7 linked regions of the Kluyveromyces lactis genome follow. The main gene of each other region encodes a partner of the protein of the gene in region 4 in a complex. Links are inferred from orthologs where the notes say so. Each region holds a gene or a part of one and is shown on either strand. Other genes may lie near its edges. The genes, in order: RXT3, DEP1, ASH1, SIN3, PHO23, CTI6 and KLLA0_E19933g.

Region 1 (2,830 bases), on a different chromosome or scaffold from region 4:
GTTAAGATGTTGGAAAAAAAAAGGAACATTGATCATAAGTAAAATACAGTGCGTATTCACCGATAATGTCGTCTCTTAATCGCCTGTTTCACTCGGATAAAAATCAATCATCAATATTCAAATTATTTCACATTGATAAACAAATAACCCATCTTTTCAACATTATATTCCAGAAACAAACTTAGCGTTTTCACAAGGACGTATAGCATGGTGTATATTTTCTCCACATTCTAATGATATCAAAATAAACTAAATAGACTTCATCTCCGGTCTTTAATATCCACATATTCTCCCAAAGTATCTCCATTGTGTGCAAACTTACATGCAATGTTGCATTCAAATACAGTATATGATCTTTAAACTCCCCTTCTCATTGCTCTTATCCACTTTGGTATCTATTGTGTAATTTCACTTCGAAATTTTGTTTCATCATTGGTAAAAGCTAACATACTCTTTTGTGCATGTTGATGGTGTATTCACGAGTAACGACGTCTTTCAAACCGGCCATTTTGTATTCGATAGTTCCTCAGTGTACTGCTTCGTTCTTCTCTATTAAGAACCAACACACAAATCAAATAAACAGTATCGTAAACGCCTATTAACATTCAGAAACCTCTAATTTCACCACTTACAATATAGCTTATTTCTCAGTATCCAAATAATATTTCATCGAAAATCAACACTTTCTCTCTGGTACTGGAGGGAATAGACTAGGCACTAGGCTGGAGCAAGGCAGCCAGTGGTGGGTGAAACGCCTAGTATGTCCAAACCTGGCTGGGTGGCTGCCCAGGCTGGTTCCAGTAGACGGAGGAATGCCTGCACTCTGGACAAGGAATGGTTGCCGGCTGGGGTGTAGAGCTAGAAAGGTGAATTGGCATCCTAGGCAGAGTGGGTAAACCTGTCATCGGAGGCCGCCGGGCGTTGTCAAGCGAGGTTCCTCAGGCCTGTATCATTGCTTCCCACACACAACATGTCCTAGAAATGTTTGTGTCATTCGAAGTGCGAAATGCGGAATGAAAGTTTCCTATTATAGAAAATGAAAACATAAAACTATTTTACATCAGAGTGCACGGATGTTACAGTGGAACAAATGAAGCCTCACGAATGTACGGATGTTATAACAGTCCCGTATATAGACTATTATGGTCAAACTGGTGATGAATGTTGTTAATGAAAGAATCTCCATCTGTACATCGAATACACAGTGAATTCATAATATAAATCGAGAGAAATTTACTCCTGAGCAGGGTCGATTGATACATTATTACAAGCTGAGAACTTCGCAGTGGCTCAATTGATTAGTTGCCGATTGTATAGCTGGTAAAACTTTGATTTATTCAACAGCTTTCAGCCACTGTTTGAATATGAGTGATGAGTTGTACAGAAAAACCCAAAACAGGATATACAGCATGCAAGAGACACTGCTGAATAGTTCTAGGGAGTCCAAACAGGCCCGAGATCAGGATACGGGTAAAATCGGATCATCATCATCAGAAGAAGCAGTTGCTGCACCGGCTAATACACAGAATGTTGCAGATGAAAGTTCCCAAACAGGGGAACCTGAAAACAACACTACCCTTGAAACTGCAGCTCCAGACAGCAAACCTGAAGATGACGAAGACGAAATAGACGTAAACTCTAAATCTGTCCTTGAATATACAGAGAAGAATTACGCACTACAGCGGCGCCCTTTGGCCACCTTGGAGTACGACTCCATGAGAGTTGGTGTTTTTCCTGGGGATCCGAAATTGGAAGCCCTTCCATTCCCTTATAATTTCAAGACCATCAGATCTCCGAGACCTTTTATTCCAAGGATGTCTCATAACCATATCAACTCAATCCTTACAATACAGATCGATTCCATATATTTACAACAAGTGGCCCGTAGTGAGAACATACGGTACCAAAACCGAGAGATATGGGGCACAGATATATATACCGACGATTCGGATATTATATTAGTACTTCAACACTGTGGAGTTTTGCCATTTTCTGAACCATTGGATCAAAACAGCAATGGCAAGCCATCCAATGTTCACTCTTTGAAAACTAAATTGAGAAGAACTCCTACAAATATGTCGGACCAAAATAGTGTGACAGGAGCAATCCCAGAACGTGAAATTCCATTTGCGATCAAAGTGGACATCCTAATGTTACCACCTCTTCAAGGTTATGCGTCATCCACGAGAAATAATATCACATCCAGAGAATGGACAGGGCAAGTCCATGACGGTTTGTCGTTCGGAATTTTCCATGTTGATATTGTGGTGATGGACAACACATTAAATGAGATACAACAATCTGACAAGACTAAGTCACTAAAGTGGTAACGCTGCATCAAGAAAAAGGCCAGCAGCCGGTATCTTCCGTCCCCCAATATATTTTCTTTCGTCATGTGTCTCGTACAAGTGACGAGAAAGTTGACTTAAATCGGTTATGTGCAAGCCGTGCGTACTGCATCGATGCGTGCCGAAAAGAATATGTACATTTGTATATGTAAAAGCGTTGTGTATAGATTACTCAACAATGTAATATCATAATAATAACTACCATTATCTCCACTGCCATGCAAACCTTCTAAACATAGAGGTCTGATATATATGCTATTTTATACGTCCCTGCAACCTTCTTTTAAATTGGTTGAAGGTTCCTTCTATTCTTTTAGTGACATTCAATAAGATTAATAATTGGGAAAAAGATTTGAAAAGACCGACCATAAGAGAAGTGTTCGAGACGTTAACGGCTACAAAGTGACCCATAAGACCCTGAATCTTGTTTCTTGGTATACTTAAAGATTAGGTTAGAGTAAGGGTCTCACTGATTCTAACTT
Region 2 (3,583 bases), on a different chromosome or scaffold from region 4:
AGCCTTGGCTAGTTCCTTTTCTTTCAAATTGATAACTTTAGCAGATTCAGATTCCGTGCCGGTAATCGAAGACTTATCGACTGCAGTTGCTTCATCTTCATTATCACTATCGGAAGAGTCGTCCTTAGGTTCATCCTTAGGTTCATCTTTAGATTTAGAATCACCTAATACCTTAGAATAATATTGAACTTCCAAATTATCATTCTCTTCATCATTCTTCTTGGTCTTCTTCTTTTTCTTCTTCGGCTGTTCTTCCTGTTCTTCCTGTTCTTTCTCTACTCCTTCGGAGACAGTAGAAGCACTTTCCTGGACATTCTCTTCTTCTTGTTCATCCTTATCCTGTTCAGGCTCAGTTAGCACAGTCCTAGCTTTCGACTTTACTTTACGCTCATCGACATGATTAGGTTTGGAGAATAACGCTGCAATCGATGATGTACCTGCCGCGTCTGATTTGGAATTTCCAAATAAATTGTTCAATGCGGACATCCCGTAATATAATTTTGGTTTGTTATGTTTGAAAGACCCTGGTTCACCAACACAAACGTTATTCCTCTGCACTAAACCTGCTGGTGGCTGTCCAAGTCTCTTCGATGCGATGAGCTTTATCCATTTGTCTGTTGAATTATCGAAAGTGAAAAACCTGCACTTCCTAGAAAAGCCAGCAGAAATCATGAATTTACCACCAAAAAGAAATGCGGAAGAAAAGCGTACGCTCTATGGACAAATCGAATGTATCGTAGTCACGTGATTAACACCGTGGAATGTACTATATGGCCGGGTAACATCATGTTCCTTTTCCTTAAAAAACGTACAAACTGTAAATAGTGCTGAAATGCCGAAATATAAGTTAAGAATAAAAATACAGTCTGATTTTAGCATGAACATATAGTTATGGCCAGTCAGCAATCAATACATAGATCTCATCCAAACGTGATTTAAAATATTGTGTACTACTAAGAATAGAGAGAGATAACTGTTTTGCTAGTAAAAATAAGAATTACGCGAAGTAAGGTATATTTGCAGCCCTTTGTTTTAGTGTGTCAGGTATCAACTTTCAATCTATTCAAGCAGCAATTCTTAACTTATACTGCGCATATTAAACGGTTTGCTGGTTAAATTTTGTGTGTTTCTGCATTGGAGTATAAGCTAAGTGTTTTTTCTTTGCCATCAGCCGATTGGAGTAATACAAAGGTTGTATTGGTTATATGCGTTGGGATTTCTTTCTTTTTGAATTCAAACGGTACTATCTTTGAATCATTCAAATGGAGCCAGAGAGAAACAAAAATAACAGTGTAGAGGCTGCGAGTGAGATTGACGATCATAATACCAGATCTGCCCCCACTACGAAACTTACCAAAGAAGTTTTAGAGAAGATTGCTTCGGATTCTGATTCTGTTAATTTTAACGCAAATAGTTATTCAAGGAAATCGAAATCAGGGAGTCCCTCAAAGGTTGGTACATTAGAATACGACGATAACAGTACCAGTGGATTATCTAAGGTCACTTCTCCAGAACATCCAAACTCAGTCTCTCTATCGGACATATACATCTCATCAGACGCTGAGACCGAAAAGATGGATTTAGAAGAGGACGAATCACGTGTCAAACTATCGGAAATGGCATCCAATTCGATTGAAAGTAACGGTAATGACAAAAGTAAACAAAATGATGATAATCTTTCGAAGACTGTAAAACAAGAGTACATCAATAATGGTGTCGGTAGTTATATTCAAGAATCTGCCCCTAAACTTGCTACTCCTTCAAAAGATGAGGGACCAATCGTTCAGCAAGATAAACCAGCCGAAACAGAACCTGAACCAGTACCGTATGAAGATGACGCTGTTGCTGATACAGATCATACAACAGAGCCAAATAAACTTGCACTAAGCCAAAACCAGGACGAAGTATCTGTACCTGCCGAAGGAGGCAGTCAAGAAGAAACAATTGCAAACGATGAACAAGAACAGCATGCTCCGGTAGTAGAGGAGCAGGCGAATGATAACGAGATCAAATCGCAAGAAGAATCAGAAGTGTCTTTAAAGCATAACCGTGAAGAAGAGCAACAGTCCCTAGAGAACGGCTCGGAGCATGTCAAGTCTGAACAGGTGTTCAAGAAACCGAAATTACCTACTGAGTCAAAATCAGGTCACTATGAAGACGAGCATGAAACGCATGAAAACGGAGATCATGATGTTGATATCGACGCGGATGCAGAAGCTGAGGATGATGGTACTCTAGAAAGTGAGGTTGAGGACAATAATGAGGATGAAGAGGAAGAATTAGAACCCGAAATGGACGCAGTAGAAGAAGATAATGATGAGAAACAACAGACAGATACACCTGGCGTCGATTCTACCGATAATGGACTATCGCCCATGGAGAAGGAAAGGATAAGACAAGACGCTTTGGCAGAACTAACAAATATTGAAGTCGAATTTGCTCAATTGCGACAGAGTCTATATGAAAACAAGCTGAGCAAATTACAGAATGAGCTACAGATGTGTCTAGATGGATCACATCCTCAACTACAGACTTATTATCAGAAGATTGCTTCGATACGGGACTTTAAGCTAAAGAGAATGTACCAAAGGCAAAAGTATGAGCTGGAGTGCATAGATACCGAAACTAGGGCGACAAGAACGTTTATTCATCAAGATTTCTACAGAAAGGTCTCAGATTTGAAACATAAGTTATTAGGAAACACAACCCAGAAGTGGTATGACATCAATAAAGAGAGACGTGAAATGGACGTTGTTGTACCTGAAGTAAATTATCACGTTCCAATAAAAATTTCAAATAAATCTTTGAGTTGTATAACCGGATACGCAGCTCCTGCCAATCTGAGACGTCCAGGCGACTTGTTATCAGAAGATTTATTATGTGAAAATATCAATTTCAGATATCATAACAACCCTGTCGATAAGTTAGAAGTCATTGTAGACAGAATGAGGTTTAATAATGAATTGAGCGACTTAGATGGTATAAGGAAATTCTATGGAGGATTCCCAGGTGCTCCTGAACTTGGTGGTTTAAAAGATTCTGAAATTCATGAGGATCTTGCAGGAATACAGCATCAACAATAGGTCATATAATTTTTCACTAGGTGCTCCAAAAACCAGAAAACACGCTCTTATCAATAGTCAATAAAATGTCATCTTGATGAATCATCATTTAATTATCGTTTTGTTATGATGTGTAATCTTTACAAGTATAATATATGCATGACTGTGTATATGTATAGCACTTTTAACATTTCCACGATATGAAAGTGTATTCGAATTGACATCTGTGAATTCGAGAAACCTTGATATTTTAAAATATACAAAGATGTATGTTATATATGGAATAGAAGATATACTTCCTACTAATTAAACATTTGTTGGACGTTGGTAGAGATAAAAGCGTAAATAATAAAAAGATGAGAAAGAAACCCCAAAAATAGTAGTCCTTGTGAAGTGAGGAAAGGTTGTGATGAATTGGTCAGATTCCAATGTGAAGCGAAATATCTTTATTTTATTAAGACACCAGGATAGAAATAAAACTTATAATAAACCGTATCCAACCCGATGATATTTTTCTATAA
Region 3 (3,339 bases), on a different chromosome or scaffold from region 4:
ATATTAAAGCAAAACGAAAGCAAGTGATGAGATATTGACGGTTCCAGTTATTTATATTTTTGATGAAGTTTTTTTTTTTTTTTTTTTTTTTTTTTTTCATTTTCAGATAGCGAACATACATCGATCTTGACGTAAATGGCATATTAATGAAAAGAAAGAAAAAATCATTCACTTTATGAAGAGGTCTGAAGCAGCTACTAAGTGCCAGTCATCAATATCAACCTATGATATTGATGCTCAAAGATCAGAAGTGTGAAAATATTAATTTACGCTACATTAGATAAATTATAGGAAGAATATATGTTTAGATTATATCATTATATTAATCAAATTAGTTAGAATTGAAGGGAAAGGGAATAGTGGAAATATTATCCGGACAAACAAGGGAAAAGAGAAGTAAGTATTTATAAATGCAATATTAGAAGGTAAAAAGCTCCGTTGAAAGTTGGGATCAGTTAATTATGCAAGGAAGGTTGGTTTTTTTATCAGGCTTTTCTGCCCTATTCGTCAGTAGCAACGGCGTGACCGCAGAACAAACATGCTATTTTGTAATCAGTATTTCCGTCAGCGTCCTCAATCGAAACTGGCTTGTTTGATTTCATAAGTGTCAATTCACCTTTTGAAGGTATTTTACGGCAAGTTTCATTGGTGCATCTTGTATGGGTCTTCTTATAACGGAGCCCACAAGAATTACAAAGCTGATCTTGTTTGCTTTTAGACCAAGAAGGTCTCCAACACGGGGAATCTGTAATGTGACATGAAACGCAAAATCTATGAGAGTTACGCCTTTGTGTTGGAGAGCTTTTGGGAGATGTTTGGACTAGCTCTTGGTCGGTGTCGTCTTCTGAGTTGGAGTTCGCCGAAGTCTTTTCGCCGAAATCCTCCACGCTGTTGATCACAATAGGATGAAATCTCTGTTGGGGAGATTGAAGAGATTTTGGAGTTGTGGATAGTGTAATCTTCTTTTGTGGAGGGGTCTTTGGTGGTGCAGGATTAGCCTTAAATACCGACTTTTGTGATTCGAATTTGTCTTCATATGTAAGCAATATGCGTTGATCCAGCATCTTCTTCAGTTTTCTTGCTTTAAAACTGTTGGTCTTCTTATGTTTTGAGGAACGGTTCTTCTTTACCGCTTTAACTAATGATTCGCTGATCATAGAAGTGAATTGTCTGGGAGGACTACTTGGTGGGGTTACCAGTACTTTGCTGGAGCTTGAAGTGTTTGAAAGTTGATAGAATTCATCTGGTGAAGTATTGATCGATGATATTCTAGCAGCATCGGCTAAAATATTTAATCCATGAGTAAAATTACCAGCTCTTGGATTAGCTTGAGATACCTGATCTGTAATGTTTTGGTACTGAGTGTAATTAGTTTCCTTACACCACTCTGTTAAGTTTTGCCTCCATAGAGGCGTGGAGGCACAAGTGTCTGGATAGAGGTACGAAAACTCTTGTATTTTAGGATGTGCCAATAACTTTAGATGCTTTAATGGTTGTAGTGCTGGTTGCGAGGGTTGCGCAACCTCATTCTGTAGTTGTGAACAGGAAGGCAGTTGAGTTGATTTTCCAATATTGTTACTGCTGTTGCTGCTAATGCTGCTTCCCTCACATACTGTCTGTCTCCATATGGAAGAATTAGATGAAGCGGACACTGGTGATGTAGTAGGCGTGATTTGTACGAATCCAGAAGGTGAGGCTGGCGCCGTTTTAGATTTTTTCCGGGCGTCAAAGAAATATGGCGATTCTTCTAATGTCATTGGGGCGTTCAAACTGGTACTTAAAGATGGCAATAATAGATCATCAAAGGATCTTTTTCTTCTTGCGTAGAACTTTTGCTCGGCGTGAGGATTGGTGAATGGTAAAGGGTTCGAAATAGTGGACATCGTTAGCTTGAATAGTGAAAAGGTCGAAGCGATGGGAAATGAGCTGATTCGATGCTCTATAATGGGGAACAAGTTACGGTGTTAATTGAAGTAAATTATTGATGTGTAACACAGTTGTCAGGACCAGTGTTTGAAGAGTGAAGAAATATATCAGGCCTTATAAGGATTAGCTAGAACTGTCATATATCAACCACGATACCTAATTCAGTAAAAATAAGGGGATTATCTTTCCAATCGATCTGAAAGAATTGTCCCATGGAAACCCAGATTTGGATTCTGGTTTATATACTCTAGGGATACTGAACCAATTTCAATCAGTTCAGTCCCGCAAACTTAGTAGGAATCCATATATCGATGAAACAGAAAAAAGTGTAAACAAAGAATACCTGCGCCAAACCCGCAGAGGGTTTACCGAATTTTTTTCGATTTGGCAAAAGAATTCATACTTGTTCTATGCCTGCAAAACTAAAGGGAAAGACAAAAGATATACTTCTTTTTCTCTTACCGGCTATAAAATTGATCAAAACTAGTCAACCATTGTTTACAAAATCATATATCATGTAATGGAATCGCGCAGCGATGTTCACTTAGCTTTCAGATCTCTGTTTATGTTTATTTTTCCACACCAAGTCTTGGTATCTGTTCGGCTGGTATTATGGATTTACATTTCGATGCTGGGTTTTTCATGTTTACACTTTCTTCACATATGCAAGCAGAAAATAGAATTTAAAAAAAAAAGAATACTAGTGCGCGAGGCAGCTTGACAAAAGTGCTGGCAAAAGAGACATAAGGAAAAGAAAAATCCGACTCTACAATATGTACGCTAGATATTTGCTCGAGTCGATCAGCATTTAGAGTTGTGTTTGCATGTGTTCATTTGAGAGATTTTGAAATCAGGGTCTACCTAAAATCATCAAGGAAATTACAACGCGTACATATATTGTTTGTTACCCGCATTTGATGAAGCTAGTCAATTGAATTTACCCAAGATGAAATTTGGAGAGAAGAAGACTTCTTTCCATAGATTTAATAATAAAATTTTTGATCGATGTTGAAATTAATAGTATTAAGGTAAACGTTATCAAAGCCTTCAATAAAAATCAGCAAATCTCTTTAAAGCATCATCAACTGATATTATCAAAATGAATCGTCAACCTCAAATCGTGGAGACTTTTGTGAAGAAAGTACTGGCTCATCTAGATGAGCCCGATCCAGCAAAGTTGGAACAATTCCTACAGCTATTTAACCCACATCAGTGCAAAATAATATTCAATTCCCAACCGTTTGGACAGGCAGTGCAATTCCTTCAGGCATGGCAAACTGGAGTGGTACTGACGCAGCACGTTATCACCGCGGTTGATTTCCATGTGATACCAGGTACCGGAACCTTACTATGCAATGTGAACTGTAAAGTTAGATTTGACGAAAGTGGGAAGGATAAGAACGGCCAGGATAG
Region 4 (4,091 bases):
AGGTCACTATTCTGTACTGATAATACCCAAAAAACCCAAAAGAAATAGTCCTATACACAATGAACGTTGAACTTTACGGTGGATAGTAATACGCTCTCCTATTTTATAGCCGAAACACAACACAGTTCATGAAAATAATACATAGAAGGGAAGAGGGGATAGAGAAAAACCGAAGGAGGTTCAATAATTCTTTTGAAAAGATGAATTACCTGACACTTGTTTAATACACTTGAGCAATTTCCAACACTATTACATACCATAATCCTCAGTAGCCAACGTTTGCAAATTCCATTCTGTTTCGAAGTTAGACTGCAGCTGAGCCAACTTATTGATAATGCTATTACATGCGTTCTTCAACGCATCCTTCGGATCGTATCCTTCCACAGTCTGAATTCTCATTTTAAACTTGGCAAATAACGGATGCTCTACCTTATAAGCTGCAAAAAGAACTCCTTCATCTTCTAAAAGTTCGGCTCTAATCAAATTCCCTAGAGTGTGGTCTTCTTTCTCAAACGTTACTATAATAGCACTGGATGCCTTGGTATCTTGCTCTACTTTAAGCTTCGACTCACCTTCCGGTAGTAAAAAAAGTTCAAATCTATCTGGAGCATTCATATCGTTACTCTATATTATCTAGCGGAGCCACTGATTGAATCTGTCACTGGATTGCGCTGCCTTCTCCTGCCAAACCCACACAATGTTGTCTATGGTCACTTTAAAGTTCTGTTGTGAATTTTTCATGTTGAGAAGCGAACTGCAATCAGAATCAGTGAATGAAAAGTGGTTACCCTCAGGCACGTGATATTGAATCTGACCCGAAATGTCGACAGTTCCCAAGACCAAAAAAAAAAAAAAAAAAAAAAAATTCAAAATGGAAAGATTCAAAAAAACATATAAATTGAAATTTAACATTTGAACTCTTTAAAGTATGTATTTAGAGTGGAAATTAAATGCGGTTGCAGAATCTAAAGGGGAACGAGACAAGACATAACCTTCTCTGTGCGATATCAAGGGCGGATAATCGAGTAATTGCTTTGAGCTTATACCAGTACTTTGAGTATCTAGTTCATAGTCTAAGGAGTACACCATTGTTCACGACGTGTTTTTTGGTCCTGTTCCTTTTTTTTTATTGTTTTCTTTATCAATCATCGAGATTTGATTCTGATTAAGGAACTTATCTAACTGCTCTGAGGTACGACCACGATTAGCGCTGCTATCATCTATTCTTTGATCGTGTTATCTAACGCATCGTATTAGTACAAAATTTGGCAATCGTGCTCGAGGGTAAAAGATGTCGGCGCCATGGAACCAACAACCGGATGGTCCACAACAACAACAGCAGCAGCAGCAGCAACAAATTCCACCATCGACTGGAATGATTAATGGTGTGCAAGGTCAAAGTGAGAACAGTCCAAATCTGTTACCTCAGCTCGCGCCTCCCGCCGTTAACATCCAGATAAAACCGGAACATGATCAACAACAACATCACGTGACCCTACCATCGATTTCTACTATTAGTGGATCAAATCAGCCCTCCCAGGGTCAAGGACAGGAACAGGTACAAGGCCAGCAAAACGCACGTTCTCATTCCCATTCACATTCGCATGTGCACCCTCACATCCACGGACCATTGTCTGGTGTTTCTAACCGAATGGATAACATCAATTTACAGAATGGAGGAACTCCTATCAATTCTGCCGCCGGGAGTAACGGTCCTGTCTCAACGAATAGCGAGGGCGCCATCCCTACTCCATCAATTAACAATATCGTTCAACAACCAGATATTACGCATCAACAGCAACAACAGCAATTACTTCAGGGGCACAATGTCCAGGTGGAAAATGCTATGACAGTGGGACAGGATCCACTGCAACAAGCTCAGTATTCTTCATATAGGCCCTTGAACGTCAAGGATGCTTTATCGTATTTGGAACAGGTTAAATTTCAATTCAGCTCTAGACCGGATGTCTACAACCACTTCTTGGACATTATGAAGGACTTCAAATCTCAGGCTATCGATACTCCTGGAGTAATTCAACGAGTAACGACTCTTTTCCAAGGATTCCCGAACTTGATTCAAGGTTTCAATACTTTTCTTCCTCATGGGTATAAAATCGAATGTTCTACCAACCCAAACGATCCAATCAAAGTTACCACACCGTTCGGAACTACCGGTGAAGTTTCTGCTGGACCACCTACACAATATCAATTAGCACCCGTAGCTGGCCAAAATGTTGAAAACCAAAATATTGAAATGCAGCAGCAGGTCTCTCAACCTCAATTCAATAATGGGGATCAAATTCAACATCAGCAGTTGCAGGATCAGTTGCAGAATCAATCTGCAACCTCGGCTGCAATGCTTGTTTCGCAACCACAATCACAGACCCAACCTCAACAATTACATTCACAACAGTCTCCTCAGCAACAAGGTCAGCCACCACAGAGACAAGCTCAACAACAGCCTCAACCGCCACAGTTAGAGAATCAATTTGTCAATCAAAAAATTGTTGCAGCTGGTGGTGGAATGCTTGGTGCTTTACCTGGACAGCAAAAGACAGGCGAAGTAGAATTTTCTCATGCCATAAGCTATGTCAACAAAATCAAAACTAGGTTTGCTGACCAGCCTGATATCTATAAACAATTCTTGGAAATCTTACAAACCTACCAGAGGGAACAGAAACCAATTCATGAGGTTTATGCTCAAGTAACGATCCTTTTCCAAAATAACCCTGATCTCTTGGACGATTTTAAGAAATTTTTGCCGGACTCTTCTGTTTCACAGCAACAACAAGAACAACAACAAGAACCACAGCAACAACAACAAGATCAGCAACAGGAACACCAACAAGATCAGGAGCAGCAACATCATGAGCAAAAACAGCAACCGTTACCGCAAGATCAAAATCAGCAAGCAATGCTCCCACCCCAACCTTACTTACAACAAAATCAATCTATGCAGGGACAAGGATTCTATCCACAATCTGGAGTGTTAATGCAGCCGACGAACCTTCCTCCATTAGGAAATTTTTCTGCTTCAGGCCAAGCATCGCCGGCTGAAAATAGTCATATGCTACCATCTATGCACCAGCACATTGCAGGTGGGCACGTGATACCTCAACATGTTGTGACACAAGGTATGTCCAACCAGGATATTCCTGTATCTGAAATGAGATCAACCATGAATGGCACTTATAATCAAGTAGAGTACATTCAGGGTGCCCCAGGTTATCCTCAACCACTTGAAGGTGTGCAATACATGGAAGCTCCTATGGCTAGACCTGAAATTGACTTGGACCCAAGTCTTGTACCCGTCGTACCAGAACCAATACAACCTCCTGAAGATGCCATTGCATTAGGTGATGAAGTGACGTTCTTTGAAAGAGTGAAAAGGTTTATTGGAAACAAGCAAGTTTACGCTGAGTTTTTGAAAATTCTTAATTTGTACTCACAAGATCTTCTAACAACCTCTGAATTGGTCTCGAAGGTGGAATTCTATTTGCATAGCTCTAAAGAACTTTTCGATTGGTTCAAAAGTTTTGTTGGCTACCAAGAAAAACCCAAACATATCGAAAATATAGTACATGAAAAACATAGATTGGACTTGGACCTCTGCGAAGCATGCGGCCCAAGTTATAAAAAATTGCCAAAAGACGATACCTTCATGCCATGCTCTGGAAGAGACGAAATGTGCTGGGAGGTTTTGAATGATGAATGGGTGGGTCATCCAGTGTGGGCGTCAGAGGACTCTGGGTTCATTGCTCATCGGAAGAATCAATATGAGGACACACTCTTCAAGGTAGAAGAAGAAAGGCACGAATATGATTTCTACATCGAGTCCAATTTAAGAACAATTCAAACCTTGGAAACGATTGCTAATAAAATTGCAAACATGACCAACGAGGAAAAGAACAATTTCAAGCTTCCTCCTGGATTGGGTCATACTTCCCTAACAATTTATAAGAAAGTCGTTAGAAAAGTATACGATAAAGACAGAGGTTTTGAGATTATTGACGCCTTACACGAGCACCCAGCTGTCACAGTGCCCATTGTTTTGAAAAGATTAAAGCAAAAGGATGAAGAATGGAGAAGAG
Region 5 (3,037 bases), about 600 kb from region 4:
CCTTTATAAAACCCACGCACTGCATTCAAAGAAGTAGGACCGGCTGCCTGACGTGCAGCTTGTAGAATATGTGAGACTGCATCCATGGCACTACGTGCTTGGTTTGATTGACATCTGACTTTCACCAAATCAAAAGGATGTCCGGTCAACACTGCACAAACACCTCCAACACCGCCTGCAGCTAATGACTTCAAATTTTCTGTTAATTGTGACTTTGTTTGGGAAACATCATTAACATGCGATGTTTCCAATTCAATTTCAATGGAGGCGTCACTCATTTTTCCCTTTTCAATAGTGTTCGTCGAAGTGATACTGTATATATATACGTTAGCTTTGGTGCACTTTGATCAGACCAATTTCATATACCTCGGTACTGAATGTTCTTCTTATCTAAGTGTATGCTTCAGGTTTGCACCGAAAGGCTGTGATTTATATATCTACGAAAAAAAAAAAAAACGTTTCTCTTCCTCATGAAAGTAATTAGCCATGATATTGCTGATCATTAACATCATATCATCATCATAATCATCAAACATTCAGGATTTTCTTTTGGTCCAGGATTGTGACTTTCTTGGTGAATCATTATAGTCATCACCAAAAAAATTCTCAAGTTAACGGACTTTGTAGAGATAATCTAGGATTGATACAAGGAATCAGTACAACATTTTGTGTGACTGGCCGTTAGAAATAGAATCAGCCCTGAATGCATGACAACAAATGAAAGAACAGATACTCTACAATTTAAGTACAAGGTCATGTGCTGGAACATCTCCAAATTCGCACGGGATCCCTGCGGCTGTTTCCCTGCGTGATCCATTCATTATTTCTGATACATATTCCCTTTTTACCTTATTTTACCCGATGCCGACAGGATTTAGTGTCAGCAAAATTCTAATCGCCTTTTTTTTTTCTATTTAGAGCGGGGGAAATGAAGTGACAAATGTGACACAGGTGGAAGGAGACAACAGTGAAAACAAAAAACATAAACAAAAGATTGCGGACAGGGTTTCACGGATGATCGTAATCAAACAAACCCCGAGCTTTCCATTGTATAACCTACTTAGAATCCAAAACGATTATTTAATACCAATCACGTGATAATAATTTTCACGTGATCTATTTTTCTTTTCTTCAGGTTCTCGCTTAGTCTTATTAAAAGCTTTGAATATCAAATTTATACCTTTTCTTTTAGGTCAGGTAACTAGAATTGTTTAGCATACCGGATAAGTGCACGCAATACAATTACATGTTGTATGTAGTGTATTGACATTTGTGTGATTCAAAAGATCTCTCAATCCAGTAGGAATCACAAGCTGTACTACATATCACGATAGCGAGACATAGACAATACAACTCAAGATATGGCAGCACCTGCAAATTTATACCCTGGTCTTAATGATATTAGTGATGTATTGGAAGAGGTGCCATTAGACGTTTCACGGTACATGACTCTACTCTATGAAATTGATGCTAAATGCGTTAATATAATTCCTGAACTAAATAAATGCATTAAAGGATTCCTTGGTGGGAGAAACGTTCCTGATGAGTCCAAGGTTCCTCTACGTGTGATAAACCAATGGTTTCAAGAGCTGATCCCGTCATTGGAAGAGAAGATGCATGTTTCATCTATAGCCTACGATTCTTTAGAAAGGTTAACGGACAGGTTGGAATTAGCCTACGAGGTTGCTATTTCCAATCAAGAGATTCCAGAGAAGTTAAGACTAGGTAACGATAACCATCCAGCGATGCATTTGCATCGTGAGCTTATGGCTAAGGTCGAATCAAATGTAATGACGAAGTCTCAACAAGCACTGAAAAGTGAATCCCGTAGAGAAGCCATGGCTGCAAAGAAGACAACTGGGGGAACTGCTGTTCAAGGTGGGAACGCTGCTGGAACGGCAAATTCAGGTTCTGTCGGATCCACAGCTGGTTCTACTTCAACTTCTGGAACCGGTGCCTCCACAGCAGTCGCAGGATCAGAACCAGTAGTTGCGGCGGTAGGATCACATGGAAATGCTCCAAACCAAGGAGCAAACACTCAAACAAATGGTCACAACCGCTCTTCCACTATGGCAGGTCATAAGAACGGAAATGCGCATAACCACAACCATAATGACAATAGCCATTCTCATGCAGATGATATACAACCAGCGAACACTAAGAAAAGGAGAAATAACAACGGGACAACTACTGTCTCAACATCTAGTTCAAACAATAACAACTCTTCTGCAAATAGTACTGCCGCACAAAGAAGGAACAAAAAAAGAGTAAACACCACGGCTGCTAACAATGGCGTTACCGGGAGTAACACGACAGCTGTAAATGCAGTCAACGCATCAAATAAGTATCAAAACAGACCAAAGATCAACGAATATGGAGAAGCACTGTATTGTTACTGTAATCAGGTCGCATACGGAGAAATGGTTGGATGTGATGGCGAAAACTGTCAATTAGAATGGTTCCATCTTCCCTGCATTGGCTTGGAAACGCTACCTAAAGGGAAATGGTACTGCGATGACTGTTTGAAAAAGAATTAGCTAGCTGCACCAACATAATATTTACCACCGGAAATAAATATAATATATATCACTGTCTCGTCACTCAGTTCATGATGCATAAATGCAAAAGGAAAAAAACCCTTGAGATATTCAACCTCGATCTCAGCAACTACTGAGAATATAATTGATCTGGTCAAGCATCATTTTTTTGGGAAATTCTATTTCCATTTCCATTTCTTGTCGAAAGAAATAATAATAAGCAAGCAGCAGCATCGTATTGATGAGAAAAAAAGGGTTCCTTCAATTCATGTAATCTGTCTCTTTTCGCATACTTACCGAATTTGAAATAAAAATTTAGAAAAATAAAAAAAATTTTTGTTGTACCTTATAATAATAAGCTTTGTTAAATTCTACTTATGTACGTTGACAACACCTATGCACAATCATTGCTCATATCATAGGGAAAAGAGGGACCTCGTTGTAGATTAAAATAGTGAGGGATTTACATTTGTACACTGCGAAATGTCGTTAAATAAAGT
Region 6 (2,979 bases), on a different chromosome or scaffold from region 4:
TGAGTGAGGAAATTAACGCTATTGTGGAAAAGGGGAAACTGTTAACCGGACATATCAAGGGTTGTATCGACTTAAACAACCATCTCAGCGGACAGCCATTGGTTGAGATGAAACTTGGGCTCTTAGACCACAAGCTTAGCCACTTAAACACGACTTTCCATAGATGCATCTTAGAGGATAAGGCGAACAGCATAAATGATTTAATCGCTGGGAAATTCACTAAGCTAACGTTTGTACCTCCTGATGGACGTACTAGGCTCTGTCAATATACCCTACCGTTGGTGAAAAGAGACTCAAACCTCGGCATTATAGACGTAAATTTACAAAGCAGTTTAGGTAAAAGACTTGACGAATTTGAGGTCCGCGTCACCGTTGGAATGAGCACGACGGTGAAAGAAATAGAAAACATGAGCATGACTATCAGGATGAATAGAAATTTTAAGGGAATAGTACGTGTCATGAGAAACACTCACGGCGGTGTCGAAACAAATATGACTCGTGGCGAAGTTAATTGGCATTTGGACAAAAACATGGTATGCGGTTCAATGGCTGTACTACGTTGTATAGCGGAACTGGAACCCGAACTCGCCTCCAATGACCAAACATCTAGTAGATCTTCGGTTGTTCAACCACCTAGTTCACACTTAACATCCTTACTACAACCTAGTTTCATCAAATGTTACTACGAACACAAATCCCAGCTTCCCTCCGGAATCAAACTTCAATCAATCGACGTAGTTAATGGAGGTCCAAAAAAACCGTTCAAAGGTGTTAAGTACCTCACAAAGACTGGTTCGCTAGAGTATAGGTGATGATACGTTAAATGGTTTATATATATGTATGTATGTATTTATGTATGTGTTTGGATCACGTGATATTTTTGTTTTATGTACTTTTCGAACGAGGAAAAAGTGTTCCAACTGATTAAAGACTTAAAAGGAATAAGTAGAGCCACCTTGGATAACAGATGTTTTAAAGTTTCTATGTATGCAATGCGGAGGGCAAGAGTGAATTCCAGAAGTTTCAGGGCTGTTCTATAGTGCCATTTTTACTGATCTCGACATAGAGCGGTTAATTTGGGCGATTTGCAGCTGATATTTGACGAATAATCGAGAAGAGGGGATCTTGAATCATAGCAATGAAGCGAGAAACGAGGGACCGTGGAAGGACGGACCTTGCACCAGAGAAGTATGTAGAGGACTCTGATCCAGAGCCTGAGGATGAAGGTGAGACTCGGTGTATTTGTGGGAAAATTGAACCGCCAGATGATTCGGGTCTTTATATTCAATGTGAACAATGCCATGTTTGGCAACATGGATATTGTGTGGGCATATCTGAGGAGGAAACTCCGGATAAGTATTGGTGCGAGCAGTGTAAACCAGAGCTACACTCGCTCTACACAACGGATCTTGGTGAGAAGAGGTCAATATACAAGCCAATTCAGCAACGCCGTAGGAAAAATAGAAGGTCGAAAAGAAACTCCGAATCGGATGGAGAAGTATCAAACGCTGGAAGTTCACTAGAGAACCAATCTCCTTCTAGCTCAGTGGTTAGTGGAAATATTGGATCTCAAAGATTATCTCGGCAAAGGAGAAATAGTAGTAATGTTGAATTATCGAAGGATGAAGGTGAAGATTCTATTGCGGACTCCGGAAATGGTGAAGATAAGGATGAAAATATTCCCAAGCGCGAGTTTGATCCAATTGATGAAAATCAAAAGGTTGCAGATCGTAAACGTGCTACATCCAGTGCCAGGGAAGAGAAACATTATCAACTTATGCTAGAGAAAGCCCTACGCGAAAGCAGACGCTCTTCAAAAGATGGCACCGATCCCGAAGACCAAGATATTTTGAAGGAAGAAGAGGCATCAGGGAAGTCCGCCTCACCAAAGAATTACACTAGAGATACGGAATCTCCAGAAGTGGAAGGATCTGAAGCTGATGAAGCAGCTAGTCAATCAAGAAAACGAGCTAGAACGACAACAAAATCTACATCGCCATCAGGTTCCGAAGATGACTCCAAATCAAAAAGATCAAGAAGAGGTAAGAGCAATGGTTCAACCACGCAAAGTAACTCAAGGATTTACAAGACCTCAAGTGGAAGAGTTGCAAGGAATTCTAAAGCTAGCAGCTCAAAAGGATCGGGTTCCTCTGGAAGTTCAAACTTGTCGAAATCTAATGGACAATCTAATGATATCGGAATCAACAAGCCTCTAAAACCCAGGATTCCCTCTCAGAGGACCACTATGCATGAAATGAGAAGAAGAGTTAACGCTATTCTGGAATTTATCTCAAGGACACAGTTAGAAATATCTAATGACCAACGTCAACGGGATCAGTTGTGCCAGTTTGTGGAAAACGAAGAATTCCTGGAAAATATTAATAAAATATTCTCCAGTTACGACGAATCCTTCAAAACGATGGATGAGCTAACGAGGAAATTACTGCTTTGGGAGCAAAAGTTTAGTCCAGCTTCTTAAAAGCATGATAGAGAGTGTTCTTTTCTTGTTTCATACATTTCCTTACCTAATTCTACATCTGAAGTACATACGTAAGTTCATAATAAGTCAACTGGTTTATCATTAACGGCGCAAACATCTGTTAAAAATTGCTCTGTAGAAATAATCGAGGTTCCTCCAATGATAACTCTGCAATTGTCCTTATTTTTACTCTGTTTCTCATTGAATTGATGTACTGCGCGCGCTTCTTCTATAGTGAGGCCTCCGACGATCAATATAACAACATCTTGTGGCATATATGTCTTAGGGTCAATATTTTGGTTTAAAAGAGTCACTCCCTCTTGTGGGAACTTGTTTTTATCCAAATCGCTGAGAAGTGTTGTCAATTCAGGAACATGTTGCATAAACACATTTTCAGCGCTGGTGCTGCCTAATCTGTTGAATTTCTTGGTTAATCCACTAATCAAATCATTGTCCTGAGGAGCTTTGTGTTTATTGAATATTGACCCAAATCTCTGTTT
Region 7 (3,490 bases), on a different chromosome or scaffold from region 4:
ATCCGGTAATCAGCAGCTTATCCACATTAGTCAATCTACAACGGTTCAATATATTGGATAAATCCGTCTCGTGCTGCTTCTTGCCATGGTATTTCCCTTTGAACATGTGATCAGAGATATTGAACCCAATGTCAAAGTACCTTATCTGTTTCAAACCTGTCATCTTCTGAAGTGCTCTGGACATATACAGTGTAGAAGCTGTTTCACAGTGATATACAATGGCCATAATGAACCGAAAATATGCCAAACAAACAGGAAGTCCTTTTATCGTTCTGAAGTGGGATGAGTTGCATATCCTCTTGCGCATCGTGAGATGGCTTGTACAGAATTTTCGAGTGTTACCCGGATGTAAGGTTAAGCTCCACTCTGTGACTCAAGTCCGCATGGAAACATTCACAGACCGTACATGCCACACGATGTCCAAAAATATCGTGTAATGGGTATCTTCCGAAGCCTATCCAATGGCCTACCAACGCACTTATCACCTCCCGGAGTGCATCCCCCTACCTCCCATAAGCTTATTTTGACACATTCTACACACTACTGCAATAGCTTTCCGAAGGCGTAGACTAACGCACCAGTCCCAAACCAACCGGGGAACCCCATTTGCAAGAAGTACACAGACGAAAAAAACAAAAAAAGACACGTGAACGGTAAGATACAGGACCCTCACTCAGTATACTCACATCACATCTCATCTCTTCTCATCTCACCTGTCACCTCATCTCATCGCTGTCACACTGAAAAAATTCGAAATTTTTTTTTTTTCCAACTCATCGCGACGAAGAAAAAGCCACTAAACTCGACCTCATCGAGTCTTGTCATTTAACTTGACACTCTTTGTTTCCTAGGCAGAAACCTGTCTTTATTGGTTCAGTACTCAGTCTGACCTCAGTGATATCGACTCAGAGCATAACTGTCAATACGTTAGTTTATTGTTAGCCGATTTTGGAAGGAATTTAAGGCGATTTTTTGTTGTTTAAAAAGAAAAATCGTTCATAAACTACTGTCGGTTTTATTTTGGACCGTTCAAAATTTTTATTCCCTCTCGTTGTGTTAATGAGAACAGGTCTTTGAGCTAGAGAATTAGAGCTATTAGAAAGCTGTTACTGTCGTTTTGATTACATTTCGAAAATTTTTGAGCTGAATTTTGGTTTTACTGCTCTAAATAGTGGATTTTGTTTTGGTTGCTGATACTTTACAATTATAACTCACAATATTTTTAAGTGAAAGGGTAGATGACTGCACCAAAAAACGTTTCCAGTAGGACTCCGAGTTCGTGGGAACCTCAGGACGATGTCTTGTTGCGACACTTGAAAGAGGTGAAAAGACTGGGATGGAAGGATATTGCTCAGTATTTTACGAATAGAACTCCTAACGCGTGCCAATTTCGGTGGAGAAGGTTAAAATCTGGCAGTTTAAAGACGGTGAAGTCGCCAGAGGAGGAGGATGAGGAGGAGGATGAGTTGTTAAATGTGACTGTTCCAGTACTTGCTCCAATGGCTGTTTCTGCAGGACCTACGTTGAGCGCGGAATCTTTAAACACTGGGTCCTCTTCGACGGCGAAGAAGAATACGGCAAAGAAGTCTAGTTCTACGGGACCGATGCCCATGCCCATGCCAATTCCGACCTCAAAAGTTACCAATAGTGCCGTTCTTTCGTCACCTCATGGGTTGAATGGTAGTGGGAGTGCTACTAATAATAACAATAGCAACATGGGTGTTTTTTCGTCATCTGCTGCTACAGCTGGATCTAGTGTCCTATCGGTAAACGGACTTGCACATTCCGGATCGTTGTCCAAGTCTCCGTTCTCTACTGCTTCTCCTGCTCCTCATGGGAAATTTATAAAGCCCAGGTCTTCCTCTCATTCACAGGACGCCCCACCAAATATGCCCCATTTCAATGATCAAGAGGAAAATTTTGGTTTTATTCCAAAAGTCTTCATCAAGAGTAGACGTGGTTCCGCGGTCGTTGTGAATAACACTCCACAATCGAACTTGCCAAACCTGGCCAGTACGAAATCAAGGAAAAATTCCTTCTCCTCGCGCTCCAGACGTTCCTCTTTCAACGTAGCATCCGACAGGCATTTCATCCCAATGTCTTCTAACGGATCTTCTAGAAGATCTTCCGTTGTTGTCATGCCTTCATCAACTTTGCCCGCATCTTCCGCGAATCCAAGGAGAGAAAGCTTCACGACGAATCCATCTATGTCTAGAAGGAACTCTGTCTCTCAGTTTAGACGTGAGTCTATGCAAGCAGGTTTCATTGATATGCCCATAAAACAAAGCTCTCAACCCCCTCCTTCATCCGTATGTGCCGTTGGATCATTCAATGGCTTTGCAAAACCTTGGTCTGGCGATGAGGATAAGTTGTTGGTAGAAAAACGTCAAAGGTACCACTTGTCCATTGATGAGCTTTCAATCTTGTTACCTCATAGATCAGAACAAGAGATCCAATGGAGAATGGATTCGTTACATATAACGCCTAGCGATGCAGTTAGTACTGCTAGTCCTTCCGCCAATGTTAATCAATCGAGTTCTTCAGATGAGGTCCACTCTACTTACTCACCAGATACTGCCGTAGAGGAGCATGACGACATTGACGATGTTGATGTTGATGTAGAGATTGTTGGCCGCATGGAAGACTCTATTGCCCCAACTCAGCTAAGAGATGAATCTCCTACGTTTTCTCAAACATCTTCGACTGGTTCTTCCGCTCGTGAGAGATCGCCAGTGTTTTCACCGGACGCTCATTCCTTGAGAGACCATTCTCCAACTATTTCTGATGTGAACAACTCATCTTTTTATGGCAATAGGATGCCTGCCAGCGTACCGAAGCAAATTCTTCAAACACAGGCTAGTAATGAACAAACGCCCCAGTTCACTCCGAATTCATCGCAATCTCCTCAACCACCACAAAACCATCGACTACCGCAAGTGCCAACTCAGCCACTGCCTAGTTTGAATACGATATTCAAGCACATTGTTTGATGATAAACTGTCTGTATTAATACCATTATCAAGAACCAAAAACTTAAAAAACTACTTTACAAACCACTTTCAGACATGTATGAACATGAACCCCGAAGTGTATCGTGGCGCCAGTCGCTGCTACTTCAATCATCATTGTCGTTGATTTACTATCACATAAACGCACACACTTTCCTGATTATGACCCCATTGTACAAGTACTATAACTACAATAGAACATCAATAATACTGTTACAGTGTTATCTTTATGCCAAATCATTTGAACTGTACCATATGGTTATTTTTTGTCATAATAATGTCCCTATTCAGTTTATTATAGCAAAGGGACACGGGCTGCTCCTTTTGCATAAACACTTAAATGAAAAGTGCGTACTATTACGTTGTTTTGTTATTTACATTTTACTGCTATATCAATGATGGCATTAATTTTCGCTATTCTTACAATCATATACATATATACATGCATATATTAGATATTACACTATTATCAGTTTTCTTCT

What was found.
Region 1: the proteins of SIN3 (region 4) and RXT3 are in contact, whole or in part, in a cryo-EM structure (PDB 8HPO), measured with the Saccharomyces cerevisiae proteins. The link is inferred for Kluyveromyces lactis from reciprocal best matches to the Saccharomyces cerevisiae genes SIN3 and RXT3. Residues at the interface, in NP_014639.1 of Saccharomyces cerevisiae: Asp701, Glu704, Lys729, Lys731, Cys732, Ile733, Glu734, Asn735, Ile736, Val737, His738, Glu739, Lys740, Arg742, Leu743, Val787, Trp788, Ala789, Ser790, Gly794, Phe795, Phe935, Asp939, Gln947, Ser950, Ser953, Ser954, Val957, Asp958, Thr960; in NP_010207.1 of Saccharomyces cerevisiae: Tyr62, Asp63, Pro65, Asn66, Val67, Ser68, Ser69, Ser71, Val72, Phe75, Tyr80, Tyr91, Arg94, Phe95, Ser104, Thr105, Ser106, Arg110, Phe113, Asn120, Thr121, Pro128, Ala129, Ile132, Gln133, Thr144, Glu146, Asp147, Glu156, Cys168.
Region 2: the proteins of SIN3 (region 4) and DEP1 are in contact, whole or in part, in a cryo-EM structure (PDB 8HPO), measured with the Saccharomyces cerevisiae proteins. The link is inferred for Kluyveromyces lactis from reciprocal best matches to the Saccharomyces cerevisiae genes SIN3 and DEP1. Residues at the interface, in NP_014639.1 of Saccharomyces cerevisiae: Pro643, Ser644, Val648, Val649, Pro650, Glu651, Pro652, Thr653, Glu654, Pro655, Ile656, Glu813, Tyr817, Tyr820, Val835, Asn836, Glu839, Lys869, Val870, Tyr871, Asp872, Arg875, Glu878, Ile879, Glu885, His886, Thr890, Pro892, Val893, Leu895; in NP_009389.3 of Saccharomyces cerevisiae: Asp297, Val299, Ile300, Pro301, Asp302, Val303, Asn304, Tyr305, Tyr322, Leu356, Ile359, Arg362, Met363, Asn366, Asn367, Ile369, Ser370, Leu372, Glu373, Gly374, Lys377, Tyr378, Phe379, Phe382, Pro383, Gly384, Ala385, Pro386, Leu388, Asn389.
Region 3: SIN3 (region 4) and ASH1 share a complex: the UniProt entries of both Saccharomyces cerevisiae proteins name them as parts of the RPD3C(L) complex. The link is inferred for Kluyveromyces lactis from reciprocal best matches to the Saccharomyces cerevisiae genes SIN3 and ASH1.
Region 5: SIN3 (region 4) and PHO23 share a complex: the UniProt entries of both Saccharomyces cerevisiae proteins name them as parts of the RPD3C(L) complex. The link is inferred for Kluyveromyces lactis from reciprocal best matches to the Saccharomyces cerevisiae genes SIN3 and PHO23.
Region 6: SIN3 (region 4) and CTI6 share a complex: the UniProt entries of both Saccharomyces cerevisiae proteins name them as parts of the RPD3C(L) complex. The link is inferred for Kluyveromyces lactis from reciprocal best matches to the Saccharomyces cerevisiae genes SIN3 and CTI6.
Region 7: SIN3 (region 4) and KLLA0_E19933g share a complex: the UniProt entries of both Saccharomyces cerevisiae proteins name them as parts of the RPD3C(L) complex. The link is inferred for Kluyveromyces lactis from reciprocal best matches to the Saccharomyces cerevisiae genes SIN3 and DOT6.

What each region holds. Positions count from the first base shown.
Region 1 is NC_006038.1:261,955-264,784, reverse strand, and holds RXT3 (Rxt3p), read left to right. Parts: upstream 1-1,364; coding exon 1,365-2,330; downstream 2,331-2,830. Other genes in the region: RPL31B (60S ribosomal protein eL31), read right to left, coding at 452-508. UniProt on the Saccharomyces cerevisiae protein: Component of the RPD3C(L) histone deacetylase complex (HDAC) responsible for the deacetylation of lysine residues on the N-terminal part of the core histones (H2A, H2B, H3 and H4).
Region 2 is NC_006042.1:735,792-739,374, forward strand, and holds DEP1 (Rpd3L histone deacetylase complex subunit DEP1), read left to right. Parts: upstream 1-1,262; coding exon 1,263-3,083; downstream 3,084-3,583. Other genes in the region: rRNA-processing protein NOP12, read right to left, coding at 1-486. UniProt on the Saccharomyces cerevisiae protein: Component of the RPD3C(L) histone deacetylase complex (HDAC) responsible for the deacetylation of lysine residues on the N-terminal part of the core histones (H2A, H2B, H3 and H4).
Region 3 is NC_006038.1:232,097-235,435, reverse strand, and holds ASH1 (DNA-binding transcription repressor ASH1), read right to left. Parts: upstream 1,884-3,339; coding exon 501-1,883; downstream 1-500. Other genes in the region: MTR2 (Mtr2p), read left to right, coding at 3,026-3,339. UniProt on the Saccharomyces cerevisiae protein: Component of the RPD3C(L) histone deacetylase complex (HDAC). Responsible for the deacetylation of lysine residues on the N-terminal part of the core histones (H2A, H2B, H3 and H4).
Region 4 is NC_006039.1:542,990-547,080, forward strand, and holds the start of SIN3 (transcriptional regulator SIN3), read left to right. Parts: upstream 1-1,291; coding exon 1,292-4,091. Other genes in the region: DNA-directed RNA polymerase II core subunit RPB11, read right to left, coding at 250-615. UniProt on the Saccharomyces cerevisiae protein: Catalytic component of the RPD3 histone deacetylase complexes RPD3C(L) and RPD3C(S) responsible for the deacetylation of lysine residues on the N-terminal part of the core histones (H2A, H2B, H3 and H4).
Region 5 is NC_006039.1:1,143,160-1,146,196, reverse strand, and holds PHO23 (Pho23p), read left to right. Parts: upstream 1-1,361; coding exon 1,362-2,537; downstream 2,538-3,037. Other genes in the region: CRC1 (carnitine:acyl carnitine antiporter), read right to left, coding at 1-278; Ras family GTPase RAS1, read left to right, coding at 3,021-3,035. UniProt on the Saccharomyces cerevisiae protein: Component of the RPD3C(L) histone deacetylase complex (HDAC) responsible for the deacetylation of lysine residues on the N-terminal part of the core histones (H2A, H2B, H3 and H4).
Region 6 is NC_006041.1:1,669,785-1,672,763, forward strand, and holds CTI6 (Cti6p), read left to right. Parts: upstream 1-1,138; coding exon 1,139-2,479; downstream 2,480-2,979. Other genes in the region: APM3 (Apm3p), read left to right, coding at 1-812; VPS45 (Vps45p), read right to left, coding at 2,557-2,979. UniProt on the Saccharomyces cerevisiae protein: Component of the RPD3C(L) histone deacetylase complex (HDAC). Responsible for the deacetylation of lysine residues on the N-terminal part of the core histones (H2A, H2B, H3 and H4).
Region 7 is NC_006041.1:1,774,034-1,777,523, reverse strand, and holds KLLA0_E19933g (SANT/Myb-like DNA-binding domain-containing protein), read left to right. Parts: upstream 1-1,238; coding exon 1,239-2,990; downstream 2,991-3,490. Other genes in the region: KLLA0_E19955g (3'-5'-exodeoxyribonuclease), read right to left, coding at 1-307. UniProt on the Saccharomyces cerevisiae protein: Component of the RPD3 histone deacetylase complex RPD3C(L) responsible for the deacetylation of lysine residues on the N-terminal part of the core histones (H2A, H2B, H3 and H4).